Canis lupus familiaris: one gene and its partners. The protein of the gene in region 3 interacts with the protein of the main gene of each other region in a biochemical or structural test. Links are inferred from orthologs where the notes say so. Each region holds a gene or a part of one and is shown on either strand. Other genes may lie near its edges.

Region 1 (6,276 bases), on a different chromosome or scaffold from region 3:
AGAAACATTTTAAAAGATAACAAGTTAAAGTCATACAAGATTCATCAGAAAAAGACACTACCTCTGACATGTGGTCTTTAAGCCTTGAGCCTTTTGCGGATGCTAACAATGTGACCAACTTTTTAAAAAGGACAATCCTAAGCAAACAGCTCCTAAGAAAGCCAGATGTTTGTTCTGATGTTGCGGGGAATGCTGAGAAGAGTTTTGGCAACTCCCCTTCATTCACTCATTGAATATTTATTGGGGGGATAACACAGCAGGTTGTGTGCTAGGAGCAGAGGATGAAGCTGGGACCACATTGACCTGGTGCTGCCTTGACAGGGAGCAGGTTTTAATAAAAGGATGGCACAAATGTCGAGCTACCCTGTGGTGAGTGCCGCAGGGACCAACCATCCGAAGCCATACCAGGGGACCCTCCTGAGCCTCGGAGGAATTAAGGAGGGCTCTCAGGGAAGGAGATATTTGACCTGAGGTTTGAGAAGGGGAAGCAGAGAGGGCAGGGATGGGGTGCTGCAGGCAGAGGGGAACTGCACACACGCTCCATCAAAGCAGGGGTGCAGCTTAAAGTCCTTGTCCTTCCCAGCCACATGGAGGGGACTTTGGACTTGGCTACCAAGACATAAAATTCAGTCTCACTTCTATGGTTCAGTGTGGGAGGCTTTCCATGAGCTTTCCCCCCAAACACTAGGCAAGAAGGGTCTTCCGTCTGAAACCTACAGCTTCTTTCTGGATTGATGCTGAGCACTGTGTAGGGTGACAGCAAACATTCAGTGACTTTCTTACTCCCATGAGGCCAGGCTTGATTTCTGGGGAAAATCAAGTTCACCCAGAACAAGGGTGCTGACCCAGCAGGGTGCCTGATGTCGGCCACATCATTTCAGCCAAGCCAAGATGTGGTGTTGACCCTGTATTTCCACTCATACTCAGAGCCCACCAGGAAAATCTATCTATCTCAGCTCTGCTGTGCCTAGATGGGGCAGGCCTAGTGTTGTTTTCCAGTGTTCATCCTCTTTTAGGGTTCAGGCCATAAAGAACAGTCAGCACACAAGTGCTCCTGCTCATCCAACAGCGCATCTGTCTTCAATTACACGTGTCGATCTTCTCTCTAAATGAATCAGTACGTGATGCACATAAAGCACTAGCACTGCCAGGAGCTCCACGTAAGCACTCCCGGTTAGCTCTTGTCATCCTTATTGTCATTAGTATCCAGTAAGATTCGAACTCTTTGCGAACAGAGAGTGTATCTCAACTAGAGTGTATCTTAATTACCCTTTTTTGTTTCAGTTATAGAAAAGTTCTGGACAGAACATAGTGGACACTCAATAAATCTTTCTTTTGGGCAGCCCTGGTGGCTCAGCGGTTTAGCGCCGCCTGCAGCCCAGGGCATGATCCTGGAGACCCGGGATCGAGTTCCACGTCAGGGTCCCTGCATGGAGCCTGCTTCCCTCTCTGCCTCTCTCTCTCTCTCTCTGTCTCTCTCATGAATAAATAAATAAAATCTTAAAAAAATATAAATAAATCTTTCTTTTTTTTTCTTTTAAGAGAAGGATGGGGGGAATTGGCAAAGGGAGAGCAGAGAGACAGATCTTAAGCAGGCTCCATGCCCAGTGCCGTGCCTGATGCAGCGGCTGGATCCTGAGATCATGACCCGAGCTGAAATCAAGAGTTGAATGCTTAACTGACTGAGTCACCCAGCTGTCCCGATAAATATTTTTTTAATAAATGTTTTAATTAAAATATACTTAAAATGTTTAAATCATTCAGTGTCTGAATAAATTATTGACACAGGACAGAGAACACAACCAAGTTGAGAGCCCAGTCATGGGAAGAGCAGATCAGGGATTAAACTGGCTCCTCCATCTACTAGCCATGGGACCTTGAACAAAGGGGCTCAATTTCTTTGAGCCTCAGCTTCCTCATCTGTGAATTGGGAAGATAATGATGCCTAAGTCACAGGCTGTGAGATGAATGGAAAAACGCATGTAAAGTACTAAGTACAGTATAGCACATTCTAGATGTTCAATAAACATTCCTTATTATCGCCACTGTCAGCAGAACTCAAGACCAAGAACACATTCAACTGCCAACCTTCACGGATATTTTAAGCAGCTTTTACAGAGAATGAAAAAATATTTCTCTGGTGATTGTTCCTAAACATGTTTTAATAGGCGACTGGTACATATCTGGTAGGAAATCACTTCTGGCTATATCCTGAACTTTTTTTCCATGAGTGGGAGGACTCATTGCATCTACTTCCTCTGAAAAGTGGCATAACGCAACTTGCCCCCACTCTTGCCCCAGTGAAGACAATCTCCCTAAAAGGCTCAAAGAGAAGCAGCCCTGAGGACCTTTCACCTTTGGCACTTGGAGAAGGCGCCCCTGGTACTTGGGTACCCCTGTCACCAGAGGCTCGCAGCACTGCTAGGAGGCTGGAGCCCCTGCCCATTGCAGAAGAAACCTGGGTTTCTTCAGAGAGTTTAAGTAACCTGCCCAAGGCCACACAACTAACAGGAAGCAGAGGTGGATTATGAACCCAGGTGAGGGCTGTTCATAGGGGCTGAAGGTCAGCAGCCCCTGAAGGAGGAAATAGGCTGTAAGTAAATAAAGGACAGGGCCACACAGTCCACCAGAGCAAGAGTTCAAGGGAAGAGCCTGAGCATGGCCCACACAGAGTAACCCACAGGTAATTTTACTGCTCCGTTACGATAAACTTGAACACACGGTGAAAGGTTGCAAGGTCGACTGTGGTCCTGTTTTTTTCACCTCCTCAAGAGATCTTCAAGGGCCCTGCACCAGCGGCCCCAGGCAGGAGGTCAGCAGCTCCTGCACACTGAGCCCTGACCCAGGCCCTCCTGCTATATGCACCGGTGACCAACTTCCATCCTCCCGGCGCCCCCCAGGCCGCGATCAGCACCGTTCCCATTTGACAGACGGGCACAGCGAGGCCCGCGGCTGACTTAGAGCGGCGCGGGGACCAGCGCCCAGGGTGGTCCGACAGCGGGGCGCTCGCGGTCAGCCGGGCGAGACCGCCACCCCCTCCCTCCCGGCTCCCTCCACGCCCCCTTTCCCAAAAGCCGAGCTGCAGGGCTGTCCCGGCCCGCGGCCAGCAGGGAACCGAGGGCCGGCTGGGCTGGGCTGGGCTGGGCTGGGCTGGGCTGGGCTGGGCGGAGCGGAGCGAGCTGGGCCGGGCCCTCTCCCCGGACTCGGCGCGAGGGGGGCCGCGAGGTTACCGTGTCCGCAGCGGCGGGCGGCGGGCGGCGGGGCTGGCGTCCGTCTCGGTCCCTCCGCGGATAGGGTCTGGGGCCGCCCGCAAGAAAGCGAAAGTGAAAGCCCGGGCGGCCGAGGGCGGAGTCGCGCGGGCCAGTCCCCGGGGCGGGGCGGGGTCGGGGGCGGAGCCGGGGTCGGGGCGGGGCCTGGGAAGGGGCGGGGCTGGAGGCGGGGGCGGGGCTTGAGGCGGGGCCCGGGGGCGGGGCTGGGGGCGGGGCCGGGGCCCGGGAGCGGAGTCGTGCGGGCCAGTCCTCCGGGCGGGACGGAGCCGGGGCCGGGGGCGGGGCCGGGGGGCGGGGCCTGGGCCGGGGGCGGGGCCCGGGGGGCGGAGTCGCGCGGGCCAGTCCCCCGGGCGGGTCGGGGTCGGGGTCTGGGGCGGAGCCGGGGGCGGGGCCTGGGGGCGGGGCCGGGGCCTGGGGGCGGGGCCGGGGCCTGGGGGCGGGGCCGGGGCCCGGGGGCGGAGTCGCGCGGCCAGTCCTCCGGGCGGGACGGAGCCGGGGCCGGGGGCGTGGCCGGGGGCGTGGCCGGGGGCGGGGCCGGGGCACCTCCTCCCGCTCCCGCGGCCGCGCTCTCCCCGAGGTGTCTCGCGCGCCCCGAGGCCCGCCCCCACGCGCGCCCGCGCCCTGCAGAACGCGGCGGGCCGCGCGCGTGGCCGGGGACGTGGCAGGCGCCCGGGCGCAGTTGGCCGCGCCCCCGGACGGCGCCCTCGGAGAGTTGGGAGAGTTCTCCCGCAGCCCCGGGAGAGCACCTGCACCTGCTGAGCCCGCGGCGGCGCCCGCAGCGACCCGGGGGCGCGCTCTGCACACCGGCCGCGCGCCGAAGAGCGCGCCCCGCGGACTCGGCGGCGCTCGAGGACCGGGCGCCCGCCGGGCTCCCCGCCTCCTCCCCTCCCGCTGCGGCCCCCGTCCGCACCCCCACTCGGGCCTCCGCACCCGCCGCGGGGACCCCGTTCCCACAGCCAGACGGCGTTTCCCCCGCCGGGCCCCCGACCCTGGGAAGGGGGTGCTCGGCGCCCGCAGCACTGGAGTCCCCGTCTCCGGGGCCGGCCTGGAGCCGCCGGTGGGCGTGCGGTGTCCACTCGCGGGGGCGGCAGGACTCGAACTCCGCTCTCGGGTGGCGAGCTCCCGCCTCGCAGCGCGGCGAACTTGCCGGAGGTCCCTCCAGAGTAGTGAGCGCCCCCAAGTGCCGGCCACTGGGCATGGGGCCGTGACCCGGCCCACCGCGGGCGGGGCCTGCACGCCCCTGGTCCCGCCCCCCGCCCGGCTGCTGCTCCCACAGCCCCGCACTCTGCCTTTCTTCACCCTTGGGCCGAAGCCGGCGCCTGCAATGCCTTTCTCTCCAAGACGCCTCTGGGACAGCAACTAATTAACTAATGACGCGTTGAGGCTCTGAGAAGAAAGGACACTTTTTAAAAAAAAAAGATTTTGTTTATTTATTCATGATAGACATAGAGAGAGAGGCAGAGACACAGGCAGAGGGAGAAGCAGGCTCCATGCAGGGAGCCCGATGTGGGACTCGATCCCCGGCCTCCAGGATCACGCCCCGGGCCAAAGGCAGGTGCTGGACCACTGAGCCACCCAGGGATCCCCAAAATGACACTTTTATTTATACCAGAAATAATTGCGTTTAAAGAACTTCCTGGGCCTTGAATGAATGGAAACCTTCATGGCGTGAGATCGGGCAAGAACCACATCTTGTCTTTTTGTTTGCTTGCTTTATCCTGGGCCTCAGACTTCAGTATTGTCTCTAGGATCTCGCCCAGGTGAGGACACTTTCTTGACTTAAGAAAGACTGGCCCCAGGTAAGTGTCAGGGCGTAATTATAATTTATTAACTTCTGCAAAAATTTTAAGCAGTCTCGTTACTTTTCCACTGACTGTGGAATAGGCCGAAAGTTTGTGTGCCTCACTCCCATTCATGTGTTGAAACTTGATGCTCAACGTGATGGTATTAGGAGTTGGGGCTTTTGGGAAGTGCTTAAATCATGAGGATGGAGACCTGGTGAGTGGGATTAGTGCCCTTCTAAAAAGAGGCTGGACAGAGCTTTCTGGTTCTTTCTACCCTCTGAGGATGTAAGCAGAAGTTACTGTTTGCATCCCCAGGGAGGGCTCTTACCAGAAGCTTGTTATGCTGTCACCCTGATCTTGGACTTTCTAGCCTCCAGAATGGTGAGAAATCAATTTTTGGTGTTTATAAGCTACACGGTCTGTAGTATTTTGTTATAGCAGCCCAGACTGGCTAAGACAGGCTGCACTACTCTATCAATCATGTTTCTGAAATGTAAGTGGTAACTGAGTCCTGTAGACACTGAGATAATTTGCTTTTTGAAGGAATTTATTGTGAATCATTTAAGAAATGAAAACTCCCTATCAGTAAAGAAAATTAGTTACTGATCCATAAATTTAATTTAAATTAAATTTTTTGCAAGTTATTCATGAAAGAGAGTGAAACACAATGTTAGATTTTGGAAAGGGCTTTAGCAACAAATCCCTCTGCTCATTTTATAGGAAAAGAATCTGAGGCTCAGAGGAGTGGCCCCTATCCCAGACTTGGCTAGCGGCAGAGCCAGGACCAGGTTGCCTAAAAAATAATGAATTTTCCATTCACAAGAAGGCTCTAGCTACCATAGGTTATATAATGCAAACGTTAAAACGTACTGCACACAGGAATTCATTGCTGGCTCAGGAAAGATATGTTTTTTTTTTTTAAGAATTTATTTATTTATTCATGAGAGACAGAGAGAGAGACAGACACAGGCAGAGGGAGGAGCAGACTCCATGCAGGGAGCCCGATGTGGGACTCGATCCCAGGACTTCAGGATCATGCCCTGAGCCAAAGGCAGATGCTCAACCACTGAGCCACTCAGGTGTCCGTAGAAAGATGGTTTGAAGGAAAACTTTTTTTTTTTCTTTTTCAGTTCCTTAGTTCTTTCTTTTTGCACTTTCTTTCTGGTCTGGGGAACTGCAAAGTTATTGTTCACAGTATTAACAAATAAAATCGTGGGGCAATG
Region 2 (6,153 bases), on a different chromosome or scaffold from region 3:
TTTTTTTTTTAATCAGATCAGTTCAGCCATCTGGGCCTTAAATTTCCCCTATATTCATGTTTGTCCTTTCAGAAAGGTTCATATCTCATCTGCTGGCACCTAAAGCGTTTTGGAATGCCTGGGGATTGAGGAACTGACCCAAGGGGCCAGAACCTCTCCTTTTAAAAGGTGGGTTTTCTTTTTCTTTCTTTTCTTTTCTTTTCTTTTTTTTTTTTTTTTTTGATTTTATTAATTCTTTCATGAGAGACACGGAGAAGGCAGAGGAGCAGGCTCCATGCAGGGAGCCTGAGGTGAAATCGATCCCCGGATTCCAGAATCAACGCCCTGGGCTGAAGGCAGGTACTCAACCCCTCGAGCCACCCAGGCATCCCCCATATTACAGATCCGTTAGTGATTCTTTAGTTGTAGGGACTATTTGATGCTGCCTCTTAAAAGCTTCAAAAATTGTTTTCTCCCCATTCCTTTTAGGATTTTCCCATCATAATAGAGCTGAGGCAGGTGTTCTAGGTTCAAACCTCAGAGCTGGGAATTACTAGCCTTTGGCTAGTTACTCATCCTTTCCCTGGGTATCAGCTTGTATCACTGTGAAATATGGCAAATGAATTAAAACCGTTGAGCATTCTTAGATTAGTTTCTGGCATGTAGTGAATGCTCACTGAGTGTTAGCCTTTACTACACCTCTATCCAGTCACTTAAGCATGGAGGTCCCCACCACCACCATGTCCACTGTGATCTGAAAGGTTTGTGGTTGAAATAGTGGTACATGCTTGGTTAAAACATTTGTCTTGTTAAGATCTTTTCTTTGATTCTTCGTTTGCATTGTTCTGAAAGAGGCAGGCTTGTTAGCAATATGCCATAATCTATGTAGAGAAGTCAAAAACATAGAAAAATGGCCAAATTGCAAATATTTGGGCTTTGCAGGCCAAAAATGGTCTGTCATTTTTTTTTCTAACACAATTTTAAAAATATAAAAACCACATTTAGTTTGAAAGCCCATGCAAAACAGGACACTGTCCAGATTTGGCCTTCATTAACTATAGTTTCAACTCCAGGAGTTCCTTGGAGGGAAATACGTTGATGACTTTAAACTTCCTTACAGTTTTTCACAGGGAAGAACTAAGTGAGTGTTGACTGCAGTAGAGATTTTAGTCATCATTAGACCTTCCTAATCAGCCAGTCAGAAAATCCTGTCCATTCCCTACACCAGCCTCTTCCCAAATAAGTAGCAAAGTTACCCACCCTCCATTCCAACCTCATGGTTATTTCTTCAGTTATCTTGGGTGTTGTATTCTTTTTTTTTTTTTTTTTTTAAGATTTTATTTATTCATGAGAGACACCTAGAGAGAGGCAAAATTAGGCAGAGGGAGAAGCAGGCTCCCTCTGGGGAGCCTGATGTAGGACTCAATCCCAGGATCACGTCATGAGCCAAAGGCAGATGCTCAACCACTGAGCCACCCAGCTTCCCGGATGTTGTATTCTTGACTACTTCTGAGTGTCTATAACTTGTATTCCTTCAATTGCCAATCCAGTCTTCTCATAGTCCGTAGCCACCTATTTCTCTTAAATAAGGTCTCTCCTAGCTCATAACACAATAATGCTCACATTACAGAAAGGTGTTTCTGACAGCGCACTTTATTACATATTGATGGAGATAAGGACTTTGAATTGGGAAGTATTGGGAAGAGTACCTTGGAAGTCTGACAGAGTCCCATGTCACCTACAGTCTGTGTTTTTGAGGACTCCTGAAGCCCTTGAATACTTCCAGCAGGTTTGAGGTTTTCCTCCAGCACTTTATCTGTGCTAAGCATCTTTCCCATTTATTATAATGGATTTGCCTAATACTAAAGGTAGAAAGCATCTCAATAAAAAACATATCAAATTTAAGTTTTAATTCAAATTCAGGTCATTGGATCCTCAAGCCAAAGCTATTCCTCCTCCTCCTCCTGCTGCAAGGTAGATATCATTCTGGCTACTAAACTTTCCCAAACAGCCAAAGACATTCTCTAAAGACATCGGGCGTGTGAAAACTCCCAGGAGGCAGAACTGGCTTTTGAAGGAGGATCTATGTGGTTAATTTGGGGCTGCAGGCAAGCTGCTGCCCTCCCTCTGTGTTACTAACTACAGTTTATTCCCAAACCGAGAACCTGTGTCTTTCCTCTTACAAAAATCAAAGTGCAGACCTAGGGACATTTTTTAACATGTCCACTTGATACTTAGTAGAACTTACTGCAACTTTGAACTAACTACCATAATGCCTTAAACCCAGTGGATTCCTATGAAAAACTGAAAAGATTTAAAAAGAAAAATCTTTCATCTGTTGTACATGATTCATGAAAACACGAATCCGCATGTGAACCTAGAGACTGTTTTCTTCCTTGAGAGCTTCAACACGTCAAATTCTGTATAATAATTTTCAGTATTTAATCAGATTTTGGGAGCTAACAAACACAATTTGGGAGTCCAACCGCGAAGGGCGGCTGCCTGAGGGCAGTGGATTGGACGCTCCACCAATCACAGAGCAGCACCGGCTTATATAAGCCCCTGGCCGGAGTCAGGCAGCATTGCAAGACCTGCTCTTTCGTTTTTCCGGTTCTCTTCCTGCAGCGGCTTCTGCTCTCGGCCATGTCGGAAACTGCTCCCGCTGAGACGGCTGTCCCGGCGCCGGTGGAGAAGTCACCTGCCAAAAAGAAGGCCACCAAGAAGGCAGCGGGCAGTGGCGCTGCGAAGCGCAAGGCGTCCGGGCCCCCGGTGTCCGAGCTCATCACCAAGGCGGTGGCCGCGTCCAAGGAGCGCAACGGTCTCTCCTTGGCCGCGCTCAAGAAGGCGCTGGCGGCCGCCGGCTACGACGTGGAGAAGAACAACAGCCGCATCAAGCTGGGCCTCAAGAGCCTGGTGAGCAAGGGGACCCTGGTGCAGACCAAGGGCACCGGCGCCTCGGGCTCCTTCAAGCTCAACAAGAAGGCGGCCTCCGGGGAGGCCAAGCCCAAGGCCAAGAAGGCGGGCGCGGCCAGAGCCAAGAAGCCCTCCGGGGCCACTCCTAAGAAACCCAAGAAAGCGGCGGGGGCGAAGAAAGCCGTGAAGAAGACCCCCAAGAAGGCCAAGAAGCCTGCAGCCGCCGGTGTCAAAAAAGTAGCAAAGAGCCCTAAGAAAGTTAAAACGTCTGCCAAGCCTAAGAAGGCGGCCAAGAGTCCTGCCAAGCCCAAGGCGGTGAAGCCCAAGGCCGCCAAGCCAAAGGCTGCGAAGCCAAAGGCCGCGAAGCCCAAACCTGCCAAGGCCAAGAAGGCGGCCCCGAAAAAGAAGTAGGAAGTTTTTGCCCCTTGAAAAAGCCGACAAAGCCCCAAAGGCTCTTTTCAGAGCCACCCAGGTTTTTTTAAAAACAGCTGTACACTTAGACACAAATCTTGGTAATGGTTATGTAGCTTAATATAAGGCATTTTGGAAAACCCTGCGCTGTGTGCGGTCGAACCAATTGGTTCGGTGCTACGGTTCGGTACTACAACTGTGGTCCCACCGTTTCCCAGGGAATATTTTGGTTTGGGAGTTTTTTACTATAGAAGTCTAATTCTTTTCCTCCTAGCCTTGGCAGCAGCACGGCCTGGATGTTGGGCAGGACGCCGCCCTGCGCGATGGTCACGCGGCCCAGCAGCTTGTTGAGCTCCTCGTCGTTGCGGATGGCCAGCTGCAGGTGGCGCGGGATGATGCGCGTCTTCTTGTTGTCGCGGGCCGCGTTGCCCGCCAGCTCCAGGATCTCGGCCGTCAGGTACTCCAGCACGGCCGCCAGGTACACCGGCGCGCCCGCCCCGACCCGCTCCGCGTAGTTGCCCTTGCGGAGCAGGCGGTGGACGCGGCCCACCGGGAACTGGAGCCCGGCGCGCGACGAGCGCGTCTTGGCCTTGGCGCGAGCCTTGCCGCCCTGCTTCCCGCGACCTGACATGATGACAGACAACAGTGACTTGGATCGGAACAGATGGAGACCAAGTTTCAGTATTTATTATAGTCCTTACTGGGCGCCAAAATGAAGCTGTCCTATTGGCTGAACTTCGACTTTCATTAGAACCAATGCAATTCTGGTTTTCAAATACCCTTATTTTGATTGGATAGCTACAGGATGCTATCCAGAATTTACCACAAATCACTAGAGTTTAATCTCCTTCGCGTGAGGCTGTGAGTAAAGACTGCACGTAGTAACTGTTATTCTTTCCCCTTTTGGCTTTTGTTGGAGGGGAGTGGAGGTGTTGGGGAGGGGAGGGTTAGTTATTTTCCACCATGTCAAAGCAGTCAAGTTTAAGAAGTACACCAGGTCCAAGTGAGCCCGCCAGCGGAAAAGGTATTCGTCAGACACCCAAAGGCTTTTTTTTTTTTTTAAGAGCCATCCACACTTTCCAAAGAAAACTAATACTGCCTTTACCCTGACTTAGAGTTAGGCAAAAGCACATTTTCATCTGAAGGCTTTTGTACACACTCTAATTTTGCACAGAGTTACATTTTGGCCTTGTATGTTTTCAATAGGATCTAGCCTTTTTTTTTTTTTTTTTTTTAAGTTACAAACATCAAGCACTCCAAATTAATTTTATTGTGCATATTTCATTTAACATCCAAATTCTAAGAGTCATCCATGGAGTTAATTACTGAGAAAACTGCAAATTTAAGGTGAAAATGAAAAATAACCCTGAACTTGCAGTGAAAATCTTATTGTCAGAGCTTCAGTTTTTCTCCCTTTAGGTTATACCACCATTTTCCAGTCACCAACACCACTTCCTTTAGGGTAGAATGCTCTATGAATCACATAAATTGATTTAAAGGAAATTTACCAAGTCACATTCCCTTTCACTTGTTTTGTAACATCAGTGCTAGTTACCTACTTGCTACCTTACTCTAGGACTACATTTGCACAAAATAACCTGAATGGTGTTGGGATAAAGATGGATAAAGAGGAAAATGAGAACTAAAATTAATCACCTCTTTTCATCAGTTAAGGATGAAGATTGCTAATCCAGGCTGTACATCCGTGGTTGAATTTTTCTACTGGTTTACTCTGTACACGAGTCCTGGGGAAACAAGGTCCTCCACACTCCTCCACCTCTGCATCTTTTCAAGTGAAGTTCCACAAAGATGGGAAATGATCTTGCTTCATATTCATCACTCATATTTTCAAGTCCTCTATTTCTGGTCACTGATTTTCACATGGCTAAGTCTCATTTTATGTTAGAATATACATTTTATGAAAAATAGCTATATTTTTCAAAATAACAATTTATTTATTTTTTAAAAGATTTAAAAAAAAAGATTTTTTTTTATTTATTCATGAGTGACATACAGAGAGAGAGAGAGGCAGAGAAACAGGCAGAGGGAGAAGCAGGCTCCATGCAGGGAGCCTGACATGGGACCTGATCCTGGGACTACAGGACCAGGCCCTGGGCGGAACGCAGGTGCCAAACTGCTGAGCCATCCAGGGATCCCCTAAAATAACAAAATATAGAAGAGGGGCAATGTTTTACATTTTGTAAATATCTTTAATATCAGGTTAATAGAAGACAGTTGGATTCTTGCACAGTATTTGTTTCTGCATTCAATCTGTTGCTATATAATTGTCAAGTGAAAAACAGTAGAAAAACTAATTAAGTTTAAGTTTCAGGATTATTATGCAAATAAATTTAGCCTCACAGACTCCTCAAAAGGATCTCAGAAACCCCCATGGATTCCCAGATCGTATTTTGAGAATCACTACCTTTTGGACAAAAAGAAAGCAAACATTTTTTATTTAATAACCATAGTGTTAGTGGTACTGTTGGGGATGCCTTTGGCAGAAGCTGAGCCACAGGATAATTTGAGAATTCCTTGCAAATCAGTTTGCATTCCCAATGAGTGTCATTAAAATGAAATTTGCTCTCCTGAAATGAAATTTCAGTGAATGAGAAAGCATCAGTGAGTTTCTCAGGGAGCTCTTTTTTGAGCCCTGATCTATAGCATCGCAGGAGCTGCAGCTTTCCTGGGTAAGCAGAGCAAAACTCCCAAGAGTACAAGGAGGGAAACTTACTCTGGATGTGATGCTGACCTCAGAAATACAGGTGCAAGACCTGAGGAAAGAGGAATCATGAGACACACAGTGTCTGATTCAGCTCATCACAGGATTTGTTCCAATTGATTATCATC
Region 3 (6,176 bases):
CTGGGAGATGGTGGGACAAAACACACCCTGTGAAGCTGGGGGGCCAGACTCTAGGGAACCAGGCCTCCCCACACCCCTCTCGGGCCTACCCCCTTCACGGGGCCACCTCGCAGGCATTCCGTCCTGTCCCCAGAACACACCTGCTTTCTTTGTCATCCTCCAGGAGCTGCAGCTTGTAGTAGGAGTTGGTTCCCTTCACGATGTCTACCAGGCCTAGGGTGGCGCTGAACACTTTACCACCTTTCTCCAGAACATGTGCAGAGTGTTCCAGACCTGTGGAAGAGGCAGGGTGCCCTGTTTTAACTCCCATGAGGGGCCAATGCACTCTGGGAGAAGGAGGTCTGCAGGCGGTAAGGGGCGGGGGGCTTTCACACCCCCAGACACCATACTGCCAGTCAGATGACGCCCAAGAGGTAGGAGGGCACAGGTGCAGCCTGGGCACCCTAGTCTCTTGACCACCCATCCACTCCCGCTCCTGTGAGCTCACCTGAATCTGGATCAACAGCAGCACCACCTTTCAGAGTTAATTTCATTCTCTTCTCAGATTTGTTGACGCCTTGGAAGGGGACAAGAACTGTAACTGCTCAAGTAAAACAGAACTAGGAAATACGGGTGGGGTGGAAGGCAGGGCGAGGGAGCAGTCTGCCAGCATCCACAGACCATCTCAGGAGTTTGTGGGCCTCACCTTCCTCCTTGACCGGGCCCTTGCTCTTCTTGGAGAGCGCAGCTCCTGATTTGGCTTTAGGGGCTGCAGGCTCTGCTGGCTCTGCCTTCACCTCAGCCCCCCAGGGAGCCAGCACATGGGCGGAGAGCAAATCCTGAAGGCTCCTGGTGGAATCAGACACGTCCCGGAGAAAATCCTCAGATACCACTCGGATGCTGGCCTCTCTCACCTCCTCCATCTTCTTGTTCATCTTCTCCACCTCCTCTGTTCAAACCAGGGGAAGAACGGCCGAAGCATTAACTGTGAAGTAAAGCCAGAGCCCTGCTGACTGAGCCTGAGCCCCTCCTTGTCACCTAGTGCTGGGGGCCCATGTACAGTGCCGCCTCCTGCACACGGGTCTAGGCCTGTGGGCAGATGCACCCCAGAAGAGGAGCCACCTGCAGCCCAAACGGTAGGAAAGTGCTCGACCCTGCACCTCCCCAGGGCATCCCCAAGCACACAACAAGCAACTGGTTGCCCCTGCTCTGCAGGATGCCCCTTAATTCTATGGACAATTTCCCTTACATGTGGAAGCATTCTAGTTTGATGTGGTCCTGTTGGTCTGTTTTTTTTCTTGGGTGCCAGAGTCAAAAATCACCAAAACCAGGGTCAAGGAGCTCACCGTCTATTCTGTGCTCTCTTCTATGAATTTTGTAGTTGTGGGTCTCACATACAAGTCTACAATCCATTCTGAGTAAATTTTTGTGAGCAGTGTGAGGCAGGGATCTGGCTTTCTCCAGAGTGTATTCTTGGCTTTCTACCCTGTTCCGCTGACCTCTGGGTGTTCACACGTCAGCTCCACACTACTCTGATACTAGAGCTCATAATGTAGTTTGCAATCAAGGAGCATGATGCCTCCTGCTCTGTCTTTTCTCAAAACTGCTCTGGCTGTTTGGAGCATCTGTGGTTCCACATGCATCTCAGGATCGTCTGCTCCACTTCTGTGAGGAACCAGCACCAGCTTTTCACAGGTAATGCAGGAATCTGTCCTGCTTCCAGTGTGTGGAGTGCCTTTGACTAGGTAAGCTACTTATCTCCAATCCTTCAAGATTTTTTCCTCTGAGACTTTACTGTGTTCTTTTGTTTTGAATTCATCCCCATTTTTCTGTCTTGCCTCACTCTATGGGTAGGTGAGACAAGTACCTCTCCTGGTCCTGAAGGAGCCCTCGTATAGGAGGTGAGTGTTTGTCAGCCCCGCCCCGGCTCTGCTGTTCCTCAAACCCCCAAGCTTGTCCATGCAGCTGCTGTGCTTTTCAGAGCCCCCAGTGGTTGTGGTTGTGCCAAGACCATTCATGTCCCCAAAGTGAGGCGCTCTGGTCAGCTCGGGAGAGAAAGCATGTGAACACACAGGACAGAGTGGCTTCACAAAATACAGGCACTGGTATCCCTTCAGACCCAAACAATGCTGCTGACCAGACACCTACCTGGGAGTGCCCTGCGGATGCCACACCATACTCAGTGTCCCCTTACTCAAGCTCACCGCCATGGCAGGAAGCACACTGGGCACCTGTTCTACAACCAGGTTCAACTCACTTTTTTTTTTTTTTTAAAGATTTTTATTTATTCATGAGAGACACATAAAAAGAGAGACAGAGACACAGGCAGAAGGAGACACATGCAGGGAGCCTGACGTGGGACTCGATCCTGGGACTCCAGGATCATGCCCTGAGCCAAAGGCAGACGTGCTCAACCACTAAGCCACCCAGGTGTCCTGGTTCAACTCACTTTTGGTACTGATGCACAGGGAGGCCTTATTGGCTGTGCCTGTCAACTTTCCCCCGAGCTTCTCAATCATGGCCTTCACTTCATCCTTGTTCCGCGAGAGTTTCCCAAGAGTCAGGATCTTCATGTTGGACAATGGCTTACCTGGGAAAAGAGAACAGTGGTTAGGCAGCGAGGTCTCAGGGAGGCTGGGACAGGCTGCAGGGCCTGGACACCCTCAGCTCCCCTCTGGTGCCCGAGTGATAAGTATATGAAAATAGAGGCTGAGGGCTATTGGGAAAGCAGGATAGGACAGCAAGTGGAGAGCCTGTCTCGTCCCCTAACACACAAAGGACCAGGCTAGGGGAAAAGCCACATAACAACACTGTCCTGTGAATAGGCTGGCCTGGCCAGCAGGGTCTCCTGGCTCTGTCCCACAGGGAGACCCAGAAAGCTGCATGTGGGGACCACCAGGCTGGTAGTGGGATGGGAGGCAGAGAGCTGAGCTCCCATTACTTTTCTTTTCCCAACTCGCAATTTCTTATGTGATACTTATGAACCTCATCAAATAGATTAAGACTCATTAAGGGCAGTCACTCCACGCTGTGGTCAGCAGGATGCCAAGCTAGGTAACCGATTCCAAACACAAAGACCCTGGCACTTCCCTAGAACAGAGCCCAGATCAGAAAGCCCCATGACAGGGGCTGTGCCTAGGTGTGGTGAGGGTGGATCAGGGCTGGCTCCGCACTCCTAGAACAGGGAGGGAAACGTCCCTCAAGCCCTTCCTGTGAGGGCAAGTCAAGACTGACCCCACACCCCAAAAAATAGACTGACTCAGAATGACCATGCACACGTAGGCCTCCTTGGGAGGAAGGAGGAGGTCATTAACAGGCTCACATGCAGGGTCAGCCCCTTGTCTTCCACCCACCCACCTGTGGCTGTAGCCCTTAGGCTATACCATGTGTCTCTGAGTGAACAAAGGCAGCAAGTCTCTTCTCTGGATGGAAAACCACCAACTGATCTGTGTCTGTGGTGTGGAATATTTGTATTCATAGGAGTTGGAACCTGCTTTAGCGGCCAAGGTCTCTAGCAGGTCTCTGTGTGCAAAAGACCCAACCATCCCATCAGGCTCAGGATGACTGACGGACACAGGGCTGCCCAGAGGCACGAAAGCAGTCTGTCGTGTGGTTTGGACAACATTCTGAATGTCACTCTCGGTAAGGCTGCCCTAAGGATTGGCAAACAGAGAATCTGGAGAGACCCTCCTCCTGCTAAGATCATGGGCCCCCCCCCCCCTGCAGGCGGCCCTGGAGCCCTACCTGGCGGAGTTGAGCTGTTTACACTAGCAGGCGCCAAGGCAGTGGAGGGCGGAGGTGCCGCTGCCACTGGGGCACTGGTCTCAGGGGGAAATATCCGGTCCTGCTTTTTGATCTTCAATTTCTTGAGATAAGAGATTTCTCGGAATTCCTAAAGAATTAAAGTTTCAGTTAAGAAACCAGTTCTCCCTTAAAATTACCGTCTGCCACAGCAAAGGTTTGGTCCGTTCAAACTAAGGAATTTCATTTTACTTCTTGTGATAAGGAATGACAAGAAAACAAGACAATGGGGCACCTGGGGGGCTCAGTGGGTTATGTCTGACTCTTGGTTTCCATTCAGGTTGTGATCTCAGGGTCGTGGGATGGAGTCTGTTAGGCTCCATGCTCAGTGGAGGGGGAGGTCCTGCTTGAGATCGCCCCCCCCCACACCGCCCAAAGATATTCTTTCTCACCCTCTGCCCCTCCCCCTGCTTGCTCTAAAATAAATAAATCCTAAAAAAGATTCGAGATTTCCAGCACAAAATACACGATCACTGCAAACACAGTGCTTATTTCTAGTGCTTCCACGTTTAGGATAATGCTGGCATGGATGCTGTAAGCAAAGAGTTTTCCTTAAAGATCAACCAACCAATCATGAATCAGCTGCCACGGCCTGAAACCCCCAGGCCTGGCCCTCGAGAGGCCCCTCAGGGGTCACATGCCCACGTCCCGAGACTGCACTGACTGGGAGAGAGGTTACTTCCCGAGAGGAAACCAGAGAGCTCCCCTCCCTTCTGAGAAGGTAACGTGGCTGCTGAGAGCAACAAGTGTTCCATAAGGACTCCGCCGGAGTTCAGGAACAGCATGGTGCAGGCAAGGAAGAGCCCACTCCCGTGTACCTGTGCTCCATGAATGCCCCGGATCAAAGGAGCAACAGACCATCTCCAAGTCATGCTGAACACTTACTGTGCCATATTATCATGGTGAGGTTATGAAGAGTTTCTTCTTTCAAGAAAGCAGTTCAGTGCTGACTGGGTCAGACATCTGAAGGCTAATGTGACAACAGATGGGGAACTTTGGGGGGGCTCCCTGGAGGCAATGACCTGTTTAGGCAGCTAGGGGCCAAAAAAGCAGGGTCCAAGCAAAGACGTATGACTGACATACTGTGGGATGCAGGGAACACTGGGGGGGTCAGTGTTCTATTGCTGGGAATGTAACGAGCTAGAGAGACCGTGTGTGTGCATGTGCAGTGGCAGTGACAGTACCCAGGAAGACAAGGGCAGCACAGAGCCTGAGGAAGGCCCACAGAGAGCAGCAGGCTCGCATGGAGCTGGGAATCCGTGAATCTGCACAGGCAGCAAGCACTGTGGACCTGAAAATAGGTCCTACACACACAGGTACCTTCAAAAGTAAGCACAATGCTGTGCAACTGGCCTGTGAAATACAAAATGGGTCCCCACTCCTTATGATCTCATTTTCTCAGAGATAGTAAAAGGGGTACAGGTACCACATTCAGGTATGTGACATTTGCAAACTCAGAAAAACTGGGAGAATATTTCCACGTGACCCAAGCAATCACTGAGGTCTTAAGGACACAAGCAGTGATGAGGTCAGAGCTGTTTTTGAGTGATTGCTCAAGTACAAGTTTAGAGAAAACAGCGAGGTGGGGTACAATGATGGCAGCAAGCAGGGGAGGCAAGAGGGTGGCAGGAAAAGAGTTCGAGTGTAGGTGCTGTGCTGACGGAGCCAGGGGGACACCCGAGTGACATGCTAAGTCTCGTGCCACCGGCCCACAGGCTTGTTGGCCTCCTGCACAAGCACAAGAAGTGAGGCAGCCCTGCCCACATAGAGTCTGAGGGTGCAGACAGTCCCAACTGAGGATTTCCAAGTGAGTTTTTGGTATCCTGAGAATTCAACATGCATTCCCATTAAAAACAAAAAAACCCAAAAAAACCACTACAACAGGAGGAGATACTTGAACTCCGGACCCAACTCCCCTTAGAACTAAGGCAGGAAGTCTACGGCCATACCACCCTGAACGCGCCCGATCTCGTCTGATCTCGGAAGCTAAGCAGGGTCGGGCCTGGTTAGTACTTGGATGGGAGAACTAAGGCAGGAAAACATCCTTAGGAAATTGTCTCCTATCACCGAGGTGAGAATTATCATCATTCATTTGTTCACCAGCGGGTCTTTTGTGCCTAGAACAGTGCCTGGCACACAGGAAGCCCTCAATAAGCAAAGACAAAGGTAATTCAGTCTTGGCAAGCAAGAGGACAATGCCAATCATCAAAACCTTATGCCAATAGGACAAAACTTGTACTCCTGCTAGGACTGCTTGTGCTTCTATGTTTGTGGAGTTTGCAAACTTACAGACCAATAATACGGTTTTATATTCTGAGTGTAAGGATGGCCTTGTTGGAAAGACTAAGAACACAGCACTGCAGTCATGGAGACTTGGAGTGTGAACAAGCCCAGAA

Evidence for each region.
Region 1: of the proteins of PARP1 (region 3) and CASP7, one has a biochemical effect on the other in vitro, tested with the Homo sapiens proteins (3 studies listed by BioGRID). The link is inferred for Canis lupus familiaris from reciprocal best matches to the Homo sapiens genes PARP1 and CASP7.
Region 2: of the proteins of PARP1 (region 3) and H1-5, one has a biochemical effect on the other in vitro, tested with the Homo sapiens proteins (2 studies listed by BioGRID). The link is inferred for Canis lupus familiaris from reciprocal best matches to the Homo sapiens genes PARP1 and H1-5.

Annotation. Positions count from the first base shown.
Region 1 is NC_049249.1:24,893,350-24,899,625, reverse strand, and holds the start of CASP7 (caspase-7), read right to left. Parts: upstream 3,375-6,276; 5' UTR 3,231-3,374; intron 1-3,230. UniProt on the Homo sapiens protein: Thiol protease involved in different programmed cell death processes, such as apoptosis, pyroptosis or granzyme-mediated programmed cell death, by proteolytically cleaving target proteins.
Region 2 is NC_049256.1:26,524,476-26,530,628, reverse strand, and holds H1-5 (histone H1.5), read left to right. Parts: upstream 1-2,576; 5' UTR 2,577-2,622; coding exon 2,623-3,303; 3' UTR 3,304-3,493; coding exon of another isoform or gene 3,494-3,934; 3' UTR 3,935-4,205; downstream 4,206-6,153. Other genes in the region: H2AC16 (histone H2A type 1-H-like), read right to left, coding at 3,494-3,934. UniProt on the Homo sapiens protein: Histone H1 protein binds to linker DNA between nucleosomes forming the macromolecular structure known as the chromatin fiber. Histones H1 are necessary for the condensation of nucleosome chains into higher-order structured fibers.
Region 3 is NC_049228.1:38,472,468-38,478,643, reverse strand, and holds part of PARP1 (poly [ADP-ribose] polymerase 1), read right to left. Parts: intron 3,872-6,176; coding exon 3,724-3,871; intron 2,570-3,723; coding exon 2,429-2,569; intron 929-2,428; coding exon 686-928; intron 557-685; coding exon 488-556; intron 274-487; coding exon 141-273; intron 1-140. UniProt on the Homo sapiens protein: Poly-ADP-ribosyltransferase that mediates poly-ADP-ribosylation of proteins and plays a key role in DNA repair.